Rhinolophus ferrumequinum: one gene and its partner. The protein of the gene in region 1 interacts with the protein of each later gene in a biochemical or structural test. Links are inferred from orthologs where the notes say so. Each region holds a gene or a part of one and is shown on either strand. Other genes may lie near its edges.

Region 1 (7,823 bases):
CTGAGGAGTTGCAGGCGGCCAAGGAGATGGTGCTGGACAGGGGTCAGCCGGGGACATGTGCAGGTGGAGTCCCAGGAGCCGGGATTCTCACTCCTCATCTATGCCTCAGGGATGGCTGCACCTGAGCTGAGCAGCAAAGGGCCAAAAACTCTTCTAAGAACAACTCTTAGGTGGAGGTTCCCTAGCTCTGGTTTAAAGATAGCCAGGGCTGATGGCTGGGGGTGGGGTGGGCGGGCCCAGTGCCCCTGTGTGCATATGCGGGATCCCAGTGTGCGTGAGTGGCAAGGAGGGGAGTGTGTGTGTCCACAGGTATCATGAACATGTCTCCTTGAGAAAGGGCAGGAGTGTGTCCTGGTGATGACTATGAGTGTGAGCATGTGTGTGCAAAAATGGATGTGGGGGTGTGTGTGTGTGGGTGTGAACACAAATACCAGGGTGTAGGTGAGAAGGCAAGTCCTGCCCTGTCGGGTAGTCTGTGTCTGCGTGGGCACCTTTTTTGAAGGTGTGTGCGGCTACACACAATAAGAGTAGGGGGAGGCAGGCTGGGGGGGGTGTCTATGTTCCATGGCCTTGCTCTGGGTCTCCCTGGGTCCTCCAGCCCACCCCTGCCAGCCCAGAGGCGGCGCTCGCTGCTCCTTCCCTGCTCTCTGCTCATGGCCACTGACCCCTTCCGAGTCACCTCCCATACCCACCTCCTGTCAGTCCCCCAGCACCGAAGGGAGCTTCCGGTCTTGGGGAGGTATCTTGCCCAGCAGGGGATGACCTGCATCCTCTAGAGACCCAGCCCCTCCTCCCAACAGGTCAGGCACTGGAGCGCTGCATCCACAAGAGGGCGCCCAGAGGCCCCGCTGCTCCCCGCCTGGGCGGGTCCAAGCGCAGCTGCAGGCACGCTAGTGGCAGCGGGGAGCGGCTCACTGAGACCCAGGCTCCGGCAGTTCCAGGGCTGCTGCTCCTAGTAGAGGGCACCCACAGGCCTCTCCAAGGCCTCGGCGGTCTCTTCCTGTGTGGTGTGGGGCCACCGCTCCACTCTCAGTGCCACCAATCGTGGTTTCTTGGTCATCCCAAGGGAAGGATGGGCAGAGTTGGGGGTTCACTGTCCCTGGATTGGAGAGCCTGTCTTTGGTCACCCAACTCTGTGGACCACAGCGATAGAAAAGCCACCTATTCCTGCCAAGTGCCACAGGCCCACCCTTGCAGCCCAGCCCCCACAGTTCAGCCCCCCCACAGTTCCACTGAGCACAGCAGCTAAAGCACAAGGCTGTGGAATGGTATGGGGAAAGCCTCTGAAGGCTGCTGAGGCTGCACTCAGCACACTGCTTCTGGCTCACACCTGACCACAAGTCCACAATTACAAAGTTGCAACCCAAGAGTTACAGGAGATCTCTATAACACCCTGTTCCTGTTTACTTCTGCCCTGCTGCCCCCAGGCTCTATTCACAGCCTCCTGCTCTCTTCCTCTAGCAGCACTGAGCCCAGGGTCCCAATACTGGAAACAGATTCCCTTCCCACATTCATCCCCACGGCAAAGAAAGGGCTTCTCCCCTGCCCTCTCTATGACGCATTGAGGATTCTGGCTTCAGTATCTGCTCCTTGACACTGGGATCCAGTCACACAAACGAAGCCTTGCGCAGGCCTGTGAACCCGGAATCTGTGCAGGACCTGGGCCTAGACACAGGGTGCCACGGCCTCTTCTGTCCCCAAAGGCCATAGGGAGAGAAAACCCTTTGTAAGTAGTGTTGGGGAGGTAGCCAGGGCTGTTTCCCTCTTTGAGGGAAACTTCATTCAGAAGCACAGCAGGAGGGGATCAGTCAGGGACGGTTTGAACGGAAGTAAAATGCATGGCCGAGGGGAGTAAAGATTCTATCTACCGCCTTGGGGTTCATCCTGTCAGGGTTTGGGGGTGGGGTGGTGACCAGCCTTTGCAAGAGCATATCTAATGCTCCCAGCACCAACACTGGTGGCACACGGCCCTACACCCTACTCCAAGATGGTCAAAAGTGCTTATTAAATGTTGACCCAGAGCCATCATACGGTCCCAAAGGCCGCACTTTCAGATGCCCCTGCCTGGCAACGGCGTGCGACTCTTAAAAAGCCTGCCTGGTGAGGCTCGACCGCGGTGGGCCCTCCGTGGGCTGCGCTGGGCCAGTCTGAGTGGGCCATCGAGGGCAGGCTTCCCAGAAACCACAGGCTTTTAGGTTTTTTAAAAAGATTTGGGCGGCAAAAAACTCACGAGGGAAAAGCAACGTTTTATAAAAGAGGAGATCCCCTCCTCACCCCACTGCGGGCCAGGGGATCACGGCAGGAGGAGGAATGAACCGACGTGGAGCGCGGAAAGGAAACCAGGACGCAGCGATCTTTTGCAGAAACAGAACTCCGTGCACAGGTCGCTGGCTTTCTAGGGCTATCTCACCCGTCCCGCGCTATCTGCGACGAAAGGGCGACAGTATCTGTCCGCTTCGGTCCAAGCGCGACCAGACTGCGACGCGCGGCTGCAGCTCGCACCGTGAACAGCGACCTCGGCCGCCGGGCCCAGCCCGCGACCCGCCCAGCTTGGGGCCTGAGGCTCCCTGCTCGCCGCACCACCTCGCTCCCCGCCCCGCCCCTGCGGCCCGCAAACGCGCTGCCTGCGGCCCGCCGCAAACAGGACGGCGTTTTCGATTGCGTCCACTCCACCACTCCAACTTGGCCCCGGCCGCCAGCAGGACTTACCTTCGCCGAGCAGCGGCAGCAGAAGCAGCCACCGCAGCCCCGCCGTCGTCTTCGCCATCGCCCGTGTGCGCCGGGACCGCGGCAAGAGGATGGTGGCTCGGACAGGGGGTGTAGGCGGCGGGGTGTAGTGCTCAGCCGGGCCGCTCCATCCCGCCCGGGACGCGGCGGACGCGGCGGACGCGGAGGACACTGCGGGCGCGGAGCGTCGGAGCGCGACACCGGGGCGCTCTCCGCTGCTTGGGCCGGGCTCTGATCGCCGGACTGAGGCAAGGCAGGCGCGGGCTGCGCGGGAGGAGCGGGCAGGGGCGGGGCGGCGCTGCCAGGGGGGCGGGCCGGGCGGGGCCAGGGACCGAGCGGGTGCGGTAGGGGCGGGGCTCGGGATACCCGCCCGGCAGCGCCCAGTGCGGAACCAGCAAGGCTCCAGTAGCGGACCAGTGCTGGACGTGGGGTGCGGGTGTGGTCTAAGCGGAACAGGAGTAGGAGCGAGGTGTGGGGCGCCGGGTGCTGGCCTGCCAACCTCAGCCCAGTCCGCACGCACAGCCACTCTTTCTCAGCCTGTGCGCCCTCGCTGTACCAACCCTTCACCCTTCCCCGCCTCCCACACGAGACAATTAAACCACGCGGGGATGCGGGGTCTGGGCAGCCTGGCTGGGATGCACCCGAGCGGACCTGGGGACCAGGCTCTTGGCGCGGAGCGCATCCTCCGCCATTTCTCAGACCTGGTCCTGGTGGCCTAGTGGGGTGCTTGGAGAGTAGCCACCCCTAAAAGAAGAGCTCTTTGGATGTGGAACTGAGTTGGAGAGCGCGTAGCAGGGAGGGACAGGAGCCTCAAATAATGTAATGTTCGCCCAAAGAAAGGATACCCACAAACACATACAATCCCAGAAAGGGGGAACTCAGGACCTTTAACATGGGGTTCCTGGGATGAGGTGAAGACGGGTTCTAGACCTCTGTGGGAAAAACCCACCGTTCTCCTCCTACCCCCTAGCTACCTTTTGAGGTCCTGCCTCCACCAGGGCCAGAGGAATGGAAGCCTTGGGGTGGGAAGGTCCAGCGCACCTTGGCCTTGGGGGCGCCCTTCAGGGTCTCTTCTTCCTGCTGTGCACACGAGGCTGGGGCTCCACCCTCTTGCCTGGCCAAGCTCAGGGCTGAATACGAGGTCTGCACATCACTCTGCAGATATGAAGTCAAAGTGAAGTCAGCCTTGCAGGCAGGAGGAGGAGCTGCCAAGACAGGATGGCTGGGGGTTCTGCCAGCTGAGATGGCCAGAGCCGGCCTGTGGCAAGAGGCCAGGGCACAGCATGCCCGGCTCTGGAGAGCCCCCCTTCAGCCATCAGACCTTGTGCTGCCTGTCTCACATGCCCAGAGCCCCACACCCTCGGATTTATAGGGCTGGTGGCCACGGGGCTCCCTTGTTTGTAGATAGACCCTTATTTCTGGTGCTAATGGCTACCAAGGCTGGACACTCGGGGCTGTGCCCAGGGAAGGGACCTGAGTAGAAAGGGAGGGGCTGAGGGGGACTTTACTGTTACAAACAGGCTCCTGTGGCAGGAAAATGCAGAAGGAAGAGGGGTGACTTGACCCATTCTTCCAACCATCCCCACCCTAGTACCTCCCAGGGAGTACCCTGGCCAGGCCTTGGCTGACACTGAACAGGCTGGATTCTGGCTGGCTCTGTGTGTCCCATCGGAGGCTGTGCTCCTGCCTGGGTCCCCCTCCCCCTCCCACTCTCTTTCCATCTCCACCCTTGGGGGTCTTGAATAGATGCCTGACACTATGGAGTGGGCATTGCCCTCCTTTTAGATCAGTGTCAGGGGAGCCTCACATTTGTACCATTGCACATACATGTACATGTGTGTGCATATGTGCATATGTATGTACTAACATGTATGGACTTGGGTGTGTACCCTCCCCCACGTGCACGCGCAGGGACTTGTCTGGAGGGCACCCAGTAGGGGAAAGGAGTGAAGTCCTGGGCTTGCTGGCTTCGGACTACGGGCGGGGGCTGACTCAGCCCTGCCTAGGATTGTGCATTGGCTTAAGATCCAGAACATCAGAATGGTAGGAAGGCGCTTCTTCTCCCAGCAAAGAGGAAATGAATGCAGCCTCCCTGAGGTCCCACAGGGCAAGGTCAGAGCCTGAGCTTCAGCCGAATCCAAAGGTGCTGGTCTGATTCCCCAGGAAGCCCCTCCCTTTGCTCCACTTTGTCCTAGGGGCGCCTGGGACAGTTGCATGGGAGAGTTTGCAGGAGGTTCCTGTTCTCTGTCCTGGCTTCCCCTAGTCATCTCTCTCTGTGCCTCAGCTTCCAACTATAAACATCCCCCTCAGAACGGATGAGGATAGAAAAGGGAGTATGTGTGAGGGTGGAGCTCAGTGCCAGGCACAAGTGAGTGCTCCATCAATCATAGCCATACCTATGCTTGGGACTTGGCTCTCTCATCCTTGCCCTGTTGAGGGACATGGGCTTCCATAGGCACTGAGAAGCTCTCTAGGAGCTGGGTAAGGGGGGTACATCCCAGTGTTGTCAGTGCTCCCCACCCCTGCCCACAGCCCCCCTTTTATCATAGATTCCGGGGCTCCACCTCCATAAAAATCGACATCTTAAAAAAGAGTCCCGCGAGAGGTTCTGATACGGGATTCTGCTTTGGAGTGAGTCAGAGCAGTTTGAATTTTGCCACTTACAGTCGTGTGACATTGCACAAATCACTGTACCTCTCTGGTTTTGCCATTTCTAAAATGGGGGCTAAAATAGTGCTCCCCCATCTGGATGGCTGGGAGGAATGACTGAAATAGTGTTAGTGAGGCCTTGCTCTCAGCACAGGATAAGGTGCTCCATGGGCGGGCAACTCACAGGTTATTCCTGCAGCATTCCTTGCCTCTGAGCAGGTGAGGCCTACCTGGAGCCCCTTGGGTCTGGCCCCAAAAGACAGCTCAGGGAAGGGACAGCACAGACAGGGATCCCATCTGGTGCCGGCTTGTCCAGGTGGGGAGGAGCTGCTGGTGATCATGGACCAGGGTGCTCTGTGATCATGGACCAGGGTGCTCTGTGATCATGGACCCAGGTGGCTGTGGCAACTCAGGGAGAAAGTCTGCTTTTAGGAGTGGAGACTGAGTGTAAGGATAGGAAATCCTGGCCCCAGGGACCTTACAGGGACGAGGAAACAAAGCCAGCAGCACAGCCCAATCCTGCAGGCACTAAAAGGCTAGACATTATTCCAGGAACTGCTGACTGAGGCCTGTTAGGCCCCTGCCTGGGGCCAGATGTGGTCAGAGGGGGTCCGGGAGGGGGTCTCAGGCAGTGTGACACAGAGGCTGGAAGCATAGGGGCTTTGAAGCTGACTGTGTACTGTAGCTAGTTGCTTGCTTACTTAGTTTCCCCTCTGTAAGCAGAGGTAATAAACCGCTGCACTGTCACTCCACTGGGTGTTAAGGTACAGGCATGTCTGTTTGCTGTCCTCCAGGTGCAGCTGCAAGGAGAGCCAGTGCTCACTAGCCGGCTGTGAGGGCCCACCGTGGGGCTCCCCATCCACTTACCTCCATTTCAAATATGCTGTCCCCATAACACACAACACACCAGGCTGGGGCTCCAAGGTGTGACTCAGGAACATCCTTCCCCTGACTGTGTGGAGGCCCTGCCTGCCTTCCTCTCACACACAGCTGGTATTTGAAGACAGGACCTCAGCCTGGCCAATGAGAGGACCCTCCTCAGGCCTGACCAGTAGCTGGGTGTTAGCTCAGGCAGGCCAGTCTCAGTTGGGCTGCCTTGTCCAGACCGCCCAGGGCTCCAGAGCAGGAGCAACTGTGTCCTGCATACTGTCAGAGACCCTGAGGCTCAGACAGGGCCCACCTCCACCTGGAAGGCCTGACCTCAACTCTTTGCCCCAACTCACCCTTCCATGGACCCCACAACAGACTTGTCTCCTCTGAATTTCTTTCCTCTCCCTTTTCCCTCCCCTTCTCTGCTTTTCTGCCTTCTCCTTTCATGCCTCCTCCGCTTCCCTCTTCTCGAGGAGGAATCTCAGCTCTATTCCTTTCACCTAGCCCCAGAACCAGGCTAACTGTGTCCCTGGGACTCGGCTTCCTCATCTGTACCTGGGAATGTCATACGGTTAGTGCCTCGCAGTGTTGTGAGGCCACACCCAAATGGTGCATTAGCAGGATCTGCACAGTTCCTGGCTCAGGAGGCGTTTTCCTCCCTCTTCTTTCAGCGTCCTCTAAAGTCCAGGGAGCTGTCTGGCTGGGAGGCCAGGGCAGTGGCATGTTGTGAAGGCTGCAGGTGGGCTCTGAGCTGTGTCCTGGCTTTGTCTCTTGTCTGTGTGACCTGGAATGTCCCTGGGCCTCAATGGGAAAGCAGAGTCCCCTTCCCCCAGGTGCCCGATGACACGTGAATCCCCAGACAGCCAATGAGTTGTCCCTCCTGATTCCCATCGGCTGTAGGAGTTGAGGCAAAGAGGCCACAGAGGTCAGTGGACGTCGCTGAGTTAGCACAGAAAGCAGGTGGTCCCTGGATCCAAATGACTGCTTCCCTTGTGCTGGCTCTGCAACTGCACAGGTAGTAGTGCACACCTGTCTGGACAAGGCAGCCCAACTGAGACTGGCCGGCCTGAGCTAACACTTTTCCCTCACCCTCCTACATGACCCACAGCCTTCTCAGTGGAAGGAGAGCGAGCCCTGGAAGCTGAGACTCTTCTTTGCCGCAGCAGTCCTTATCTCATCATGTCATTACACACTGGGGAGCCCCACCTGGCTCCTCAGGGCTTTGCCCACACTGAGTCCACTGTGCCCCACAGAGCCTCCAGCCCGAGGGCACTGCAGGCCCAAGGCCACTGGAGCTTGATGGGGCCTCAGGCCTGGCAGTGCCTGCCTCTTGCATCACCTGGGCCCGGGAGAAGGCCAGTCCAGGCTCACAAGAAGCCATACAGATCTCAGGGAGCTCGGATTGGCAAGTCCAGCAAATATGGCTTGAATGCTTTTTAGAAAAAACATCTCCCCAGGCGGTTTCATAATCTGCCTTGTACTGCAGATTTAGACAAGTTTTTACGAATGCACTTTTTAAAATAGGTCTTAATGGATCCTTTGCAGTAGTTACAGTCCATTGTGTAAATGCAAACAGA
Region 2 (7,783 bases), on another chromosome or scaffold:
TATAAGAAACAAACTGCAAAAGGATAAATTGATAATAGTTAACCTACAAAATTAAAAACTTCTGCTCTCTGAAAGATACTGTTAAAAAAAATAGAAAAGTCTGGTGGAATATATTTGCAAAACACATATCTGCTAAAGTACTGGTATCAAGAATACAAAAAGAACTCTTAGAACTCAGTGATAAGGAAACGATTGATGCAATAATAATAATAGTAATAATAATAATAATAAAATAATTGGACCAAAGACGTTTACTTCAGAGGAGAATGCAGATGAATAGCACGTGAGCACGTGGAAAAGCACTCACCATTTGTTGTCGTGAAGAAAGCGCCAGTTAAAATCAGAACGAGACACCATCGCACACCAGTTGGATGGCTGAAATTAAAGAGGCCGACAGCGCCAAGTGCTGGTTGAGACGCAGAACCGCTGGGGCACTCACACCTTTTGGGGGCAGATGCCCACGGTAAAGTCACTTTGAAAGCAGTGTGGCCGTTTCTTATGACACATTTCATATGGCCCAGCGATCTCGTTTCTTGTTATTTACCCAAGAGAAACGAAAACTTATCTTCCCGGTAAACCCTGTATAGCAGTTTTATTCATAATCGCCCCACAGTGGGACCTGCCCAGGTTTCCGTCAGCCAGTGAATGAATGAACAGACGGAGGTGCGTCCACTCACGGCACAGCAACCAGCTTTAAAGGAGCACGCTCGTGATGCACAGAGCGACACAGATGAATCTCACACACAGTGAGCCGAGGGAGAAAAGCCGGACACAAAAGGCTACATACTGCGTGATTCCATTCATGTGACAATCTCGAAAAGGCACAACTAAGGGGACAGAAAGCGCATAGAGCAGTGTGTGCAGGGCGTGGGGATGGGACATATTGCAAGGCACAAGAGCGAACTTTCTGGGATGATGAAGCTGCTCTTTATCTTCCCTGACATCACAGTTACACAGCGGTTAATTTTTCCTGTAGGCAAATCCAACCTCAATAGATCAGACTTAAGAGGAAACATCCTTCAGTGAGCCTCTGTTTGAATTGTAAAGCCATTTTGATTCAAGGTATCTCAGGAAAAGGAGAGTTTATATTAAGACATCATACGGAAAATGCATTTCCATTGAAAGGAGACCTGCGGTGGCCCAGACCCAGGGAGACAGGGGACCGACAGAGGGCATCCGTTCAGGGCTTGCTTTCAGCGCTTCCCTTCACACATGGGCCCAGCTCAGGTGGTCCTCACCTGGTGCCTGTGGTCCAGACCCCCTCCAGTACTTCCGGTTCGGACTCCCAGGAGCAGGCTTCTGGTGGGCCCATCCTTTCCTCCACAGGCAAACCCTTGGAATGGGAATCCCTGGGCCCAGTGTCATCCCCAGTAAATCAACTGCTATGTAGGGAACCACAAAAGGTGGGGGTGATTGGGGGACTATGGACAGTCCACTGAGGGGGGTACATCGTGTTGGTCAGCCCCGCGGCAGCAGACAGGTCTCACACTCTCCCATCACCTTTGGGATAATGGAGAAATGCCTGAGGGCGACAAGTAAGTCCCTGCTGGCCTTTCCAGCCTGGCCTCTTGTCACGTCTCCCGCCTGCCACGCAACCTCCTCCAGCCCCGCCCCCAGCTTTCTATGACGGAATGTGACTACTTGGTAACTTTTCTTGGCTTTGGTGAGGTACCTGCATCTCCCTCGACCTGGCAGACCTTTCCTTTGGCTCCCTTTTCGGCACTTAGCATCTTGGATGCTCCAGGACTCTGCTAGGGTGTGGCCTCTGCTGGGAAGCAAAGCCGCCAGGCTCCCCATCCAGGCTCCCCGTCTCTGTACCTTGGGGCCGCCTGTACTCCTCTTGCTCAGACGACTCAAGGAGTCACTGTATTTGGAATACTGGCAGTTGTGGATCATGGGGAAGTCTGTTAAAAATGCAGAGTGACCCTGGGGGGCGGTAAACTCCTCAGGGTGGGGATGAGCCCAGGGGTCTGCAGGGTGAACAGATTCCCTTGGGTCCTGCGGGGCGTATTACAATTATACTGTGATTGCAGCTCAAGCCCACCCCACGGTGAGGGGATGGGGTGGGCTGGCAGTCCTTAGTGCCTCTGATGGCTGGCTGGTGTCCAGCTCTGCCCTCCAGATGCATCCCCTCCCACGCCTCTCCCCTTGCATGGCTGGGCCATGGACTGGCCTCTGCCCACGCAAGCAGAAGTGAGGGCCACTTCTGGCCAGAGGGCTTCACTGTCAGTGAGCAGCTCACCTGGCGCCCCTTCCCTTTGCCAAGGCTGCTGGCATGTGTGAGACGGTGCCGGGCATCACAGCATCTTGCCTGCTGCTCTGCTGCTAAATCCCTTTGCATGGTACCACTTCCCAGTGATGAGGGGTTTTCCTGGGTGCCCGCTCAGTGCCAGGATGACAGCAGTGAAGAGCACGCAGTTACCCTTGTCACATGGTTACAGTCGACAGAGGGGACAGGTACCAATTATAGAATCTATCGGATTCTCTCCATGCAGCTGAACAAGCCTTTGCGCACGTCTGGATAAGTGAGTTCCTCACGGTCACAAAATGCCGTTTCCCGTCCTGACACCTAGCTGCAGCCAGGCCATTTCCCCTTGGGGAAGCTCTTGAACACAAAGCCACACTGCCTTGCTCCTGGCCGGCTGGGTGGTCCAGGGTAACTCGAGCCCTGCATGGCTGATGTCCACCCTGGCTGCTGTCATGTGGGTGGTGGGCATTTGGAATTTGCGGCAGGGAAAGGCATTCAGGTGCAGTTTGCCCACAGTACAGGTGTGGCCAGGACCCCGGTCCAGGGGACAGCTGCAGCTTCTAAACCCACAACAGTGACACGTTCATGAACTTGGATCGTAAAGTGGTCCTGAGTGGACCTGCCCAGAAAGGAGATGCATGCGGATATATCTGCGGAGAGCCAGGACAGGTGGGGGCTGAGCGCCTGTCCCAGGAATTTCAGGGATCCATGGAAGCAGGAAAACACTGGAGGACATTTATTTTGGTCCCCTCTCAATGAATAGTAATGTTTGAAAATCCACACGTTTAGAGACAGTAAGTTCTCACCTGACCCTACACTGGGTCCTGTAATGAGGGGAAAGGAACGTTATCAAGGACATTAGCAGATCAACGGGCAACGCTGGGCTATGGACCGAGACCAGACACGTGTACTTGAGCAACATAAATGTATGAATTTGCTAACTGTGCTTCCCTACTCTTAGGGAAGACATCAAAGTATATAGGGGTTAGGGGCTATAGTGCATGAAACCTGCCTACACGGGACTCAGGACAAAACGATGTCTGTTCACAGGTGCTCTTCAGACATCTGCAAAAGCCCGTGGCCGGGGCAGGCTGATTGGTGCCGTCAGCAAAGCTACAAGGTTCAAACTCACATACTTGTAAGAAGTTGGCCCAAATTGAGTTTTCTCTTCTGTGATTTTCTCCCGAGTCCTTTGTCTTCAACAGGAGTCCTTTGTGTTCTGTTCTCCCAGGAATCCAAGATCCTTCACGTCATTCTTTCTAGGTTTTCATCTTACGGTTTTCTGGGCTTGGACCAATGGGTAGACATTTTCAGGAGGCCTATTTCAGTGGCAGGAAAGGGTGACCTTTCATGATATATCCATCCAAAGGTGTGAAAAGCAGGAGCTATAAAAAGTGCCTGAAAAGGGCTTTGGCACCGTCCTTATTCTGCACTTACCAGCTACTTGACCTTGGGCAGGGTATTTCACCTCTGCGAGGTTGGATTTCCTAATCTGCACCGTGGACATCTCCCAGTGACAACCTCAGAGGGCCGGAGTAGGGGCTGGGTGACAGATTGGTGGCCATTTGGCATAAATGAATGGTCAGAAAAAGTTACTGTTGTAGCTGTTTTTGTAACATGAAGATCCAGAAAAAGACATAATTATTGCTATCCTATTTGTATTGTAATTTTGACTCCGTAGACACATTAATAATTATATTAATGATAATGGTTTTCATTCATTCGCAGTGTCCTCCGTGCCAGTCACTGTCACAGGTATGACTTCATTCAACCCCTAGGATATCACCCTCAGGGGGGTTTATTAGCCCATTTCAAAGATAAGGACACTGAGGCTTGGGGGCGCTGAGAACCTATGTAGGGCCTCCTTCCGCCACCCGCATTCACTCCAGTGCTCACACGCAGATGGGGAAACTGAGATCAGATAGAAGAGGCCCCAGACCTGGGTGGCTGTGAGCGGGCACCGCAAACCCAAGATCCCTTCCCCCCCCACCCCACCCCCCCCCCGCCCCCCGGGCTGGACCGCCGGTCCAGACAGAGTCCCCAGCATTGGCGCCTCCTCGGTCCTCCTTGCACTGTGTTGGTGATGCAGGATTTGGACCATACAGTTAAGACTTTGAGTTTCAAAGAATTCGCTTGCAAATTGCCTTTCGGGATAGGTCCGATGTGTCTTCCGCCGGCGCTCGAGCCTGGGCTGTCGGGGTCCCACGTCTGGGGCTCCCGGGAGGCAGGACCAGGGACCCGGGCGCCCACGCCCGGCTGCGGGCCCCGAGGGTCCGGCCCCCTAGCCCGCGCGCCCGCACCACGCCCTGCGCCTAGGCCGCGGCTCCGCCCGCGCTGGCGGCCGCCGAGCGGTCCCGGCTGCGGCGGCGGGAGGAGGAGCAGGAAAAGCGGCCGGGGGAGGAGGCGGAGGCGGCGGAGGCGGGCGGGGCCCGCGCGTTTAAAGCCCCTCGAGGGGGTGGGGAGGCCAGGAGGAGGCTGGAAGGGCCGAGCGGCGCGCCGGCAGCGGGCTCAGCGCTCGGAGGCCGCGGAGACCCGCGCGGAGCCAAAGTTTGCGCGCAGCCCCTAGGCTGGGCCGGGACGCCCCGCGCGCCCCGCCCGCCCCCTGGGCCCGCTCCTGCCCCAGCTGCGCCGAGGTCCCCCGGAGCGGTGCCGCGCAGGTACGGAGTTGGGTGGGGATCGCGGCCGCAAGTTACTTTGTGGTCCGCGCGGCGGGGCCCGGCGGGCGGGCGGTCCCCGTGCGGTCATTGTCTGCGCGCTGGCCGCCGGGCCGGGGACGCCGGGCGCCGCGGGGGCGCGGCGGGCGGAAGGGCGTCGCCTCCGGGCTGGGGGCTGCGGGCGCGGCGGAGCCGGCCGGGCTCTGCGCGGGTTCCCCGGGAGCTGCGGAGCCGGGCAGCGCCTCCTTGGACCATCCCGTCCGACGCCGGCAGCTCACGGGCCGGGGCCAGGCTAGGTGGGGGCTGCGCCCGTCCACGGTCAGGGCCGAGGCTGCGCTCCCGGGCCGCCCGGAGGGTCCCCTGCAGCCCCCCTGAGCCCACGCCGAGCCGGGCACTCCCCAGCCCGGCGCGGCCCAGTCTCGGGAGGGTTTTTATTCGGTTCCGTTAGTGACCCCGTTACCCGCCGCTGGGGCCTAACCCCAACTTGAGGGCTCGCGGATTAGCCGCCGGCCAGCCGTGGAAATGTGATAAGAGCCGTACCGTTTGCAGAAGGAAATTTCTGATGCAACTGTCTGCCTTCGCTGATTGCCTCTCCAAAAGCCTGCCTGGCGAGGCCCTGCAGCATGTGCGCTATGGAAATTAGGGTATTCTCTACTTTTTATTGTGTCCCTCTTCTCCTGGGGTTGGAAGAAATGCCAACTTTTTGTCGTTTGCTTTGACGAAAACCTTGGGCCCTGTAGGGAAGCCACAGGTGACTGAGACACTGCTGGATCCGCGATGCACTAGAAAGAAGGACTTCTCGCAAATGTACCCAGTTTCATTCAAGAGATGCAAAGAAAAGACCAAAACAAGTAGCGCTCCTGAGTGAATATGCGTAATTGCACAACTTTCTGGGTGCTGCTGTTTACAGGGCCAGGCCCAGAACACTTTGTTTCTGAAAATGCTGAATCAGCCGTTTGGAGCCCCCAGCTTCAGAAATGGTGCTCTACTTAACATTTCGCTCGGTTTTACTCAGAACACATGTTAGCGAGCAACAGGCGCTGGCTGGGGTTTACAGCATGAGGCTGGTGGTTTCTCACAGCAGTTGACTTGGAGCCCCCCCCCCTTTCTTTCTAGAAGGAAAAGTAGGTGGAATCTAGATATGTATAGCAGAAGAAATTAATTCCAACTTGTGGGGATAGTGAAGTGTCTTTTAGCGGAAGATTTTGTTCAATAAAAGCCCTGGAAGCAAATTTGTTTCCAGGAATGATGTGGAGGCTGGCTTTTTCGGTTAACATCAGAACTCTAGGATTACTGCACGTAACATTTGAGTTTTATTGGGAATACTTGAAAGAGAAGGGCCACACAGGCCAATCTCCAGATTACAGGGAGGGAATCTGAGGACAGACCGGGTTACACACCCAGCCAGCGCCAGCCAGCGCTTGTGTAACTGAGAAGTGTAGCGACTGATACTTTGTAGCATTTCATAGTTTACGAGACACGTTGGAAGCCTTGTTGCTTTTAGCCCTCTACAGCCCTTGGATCCCCATTTTACAGGTGGGGAAACTGAGGCTCAAGAGGTTAAATTGGCATGCCCAGGGTCACATGGCCAGCACATGATAGAGCTATCACCAGAGCCCAAGTTTTGGATTTCTTTTTTTCAGTCCTGTGTGTTTTATGCTTCTGCACGCGTACATCTGCCTCTGAAAGAGAAATAGCCCAGAGGACGTCCCCTGCCAGTCACACACCCGAGAACTAGCAGGGCCCATTACCACTCCCTGGACTCCCAGCTTTTCAGAGCTCTCTCATTGTCGCTGAGGCCATTATCAACATTTTCTTTTGTCTGCTCATTGATTATATGAAAATACATATTTTTTTGGGAGAAAATTTTGGTATCCACTGAGTTGTAAGTTTGATATGGTAGTTAAACGTTTGTTGTAATAAAAAAATGGTGTTTTAATAAAAGCTGTGTACCCCTAAAGTCATCGATTGCATACTGCCCAAGTTCTGTACCATTTTGGGGGCAGCGATGGCAGGGAAAAATGCCTTTTATTTGTGGACCAAGACCCTGGAACTGGCAGGCTCATGCCAGCTACTTGTTGGGGGCTGTGTATGGTGGTGTGCCATCGGAACACAGGGCAGTACTGGCCCAGTGGCAGTGACCGTCTCTCTGGCCAGTCAGCCTCCACTGAGAGAGAATAACAAAGTCAGAACTAAGTGCTAGCCCAGAACCTTTGATTTTGATGACACAGCTGGTCAAGACTTTACTGTGTATAGCAACCAAACTCCTGCTTGAACAGAAACATCTACACATCTAGGACTGTAGAAATTCTGGGTTGGTAGACCCAGTGCTTCAAAGGTGGCATAATGTACAGAACCTGTTTCCTCCGAGTCCTGTCCACCTCTTACCTGCAAGGAAGAAACACCTGTGTACTCAACACCTGTGTACGGTGTAATTAAGTGTGTGGAAGGGCGAGCACGTCTGCCTATCAGAACTCAGAGAGCTGGCTGCAGGGGACTTCTGTTCTGTTTTGTGGTAAAGACGCCTTTCCATTTGCAGTTTGTGGCATAAACCCCATGTCATGTCTGTCTCAGTCTTCTTAAACCAAAGTGGGGTTTGTTTAGGGCTCGTGAGGAGAAAATACTTGTTTTGCCTTTCAATTAAGCAATCAGTCTTATGTTTAAAATTTAAATAACACTTTTTCTGCTGGTAGAGATTTTTTTTTAAACTGTCTTATTTTATTTTTTTCTTAACTGTAGAAGTATGGGAGGTTACAGAAGAAATTAAGACAGCCGAGCTACTTGGTAGGCAAGGCTTGGCAAACAGGTGCTTTCGGGACCTGGAAACTTTCTACCAGGTCTGTGCTAATGGGTTTGTAACTGATCTTATCCTTCCAGCACT

What was found.
Region 2: the proteins of RET (region 1) and GRB10 form a complex in vitro, tested with the Homo sapiens proteins (2 studies listed by BioGRID). The link is inferred for Rhinolophus ferrumequinum from reciprocal best matches to the Homo sapiens genes RET and GRB10.

The regions. Positions count from the first base shown.
Region 1 is NC_046299.1:67,028,144-67,035,966, forward strand, and holds the start of RET (proto-oncogene tyrosine-protein kinase receptor Ret), read right to left. Parts: upstream 3,001-7,823; 5' UTR 2,768-3,000; coding exon 2,710-2,767; intron 1-2,709. UniProt on the Homo sapiens protein: Receptor tyrosine-protein kinase involved in numerous cellular mechanisms including cell proliferation, neuronal navigation, cell migration, and cell differentiation in response to glia cell line-derived growth family factors (GDNF, NRTN, ARTN, PSPN and GDF15).
Region 2 is NC_046303.1:2,528,127-2,535,909, reverse strand, and holds the start of GRB10 (growth factor receptor-bound protein 10), read left to right. Parts: upstream 1-4,705; 5' UTR 4,706-4,905; intron 4,906-7,783.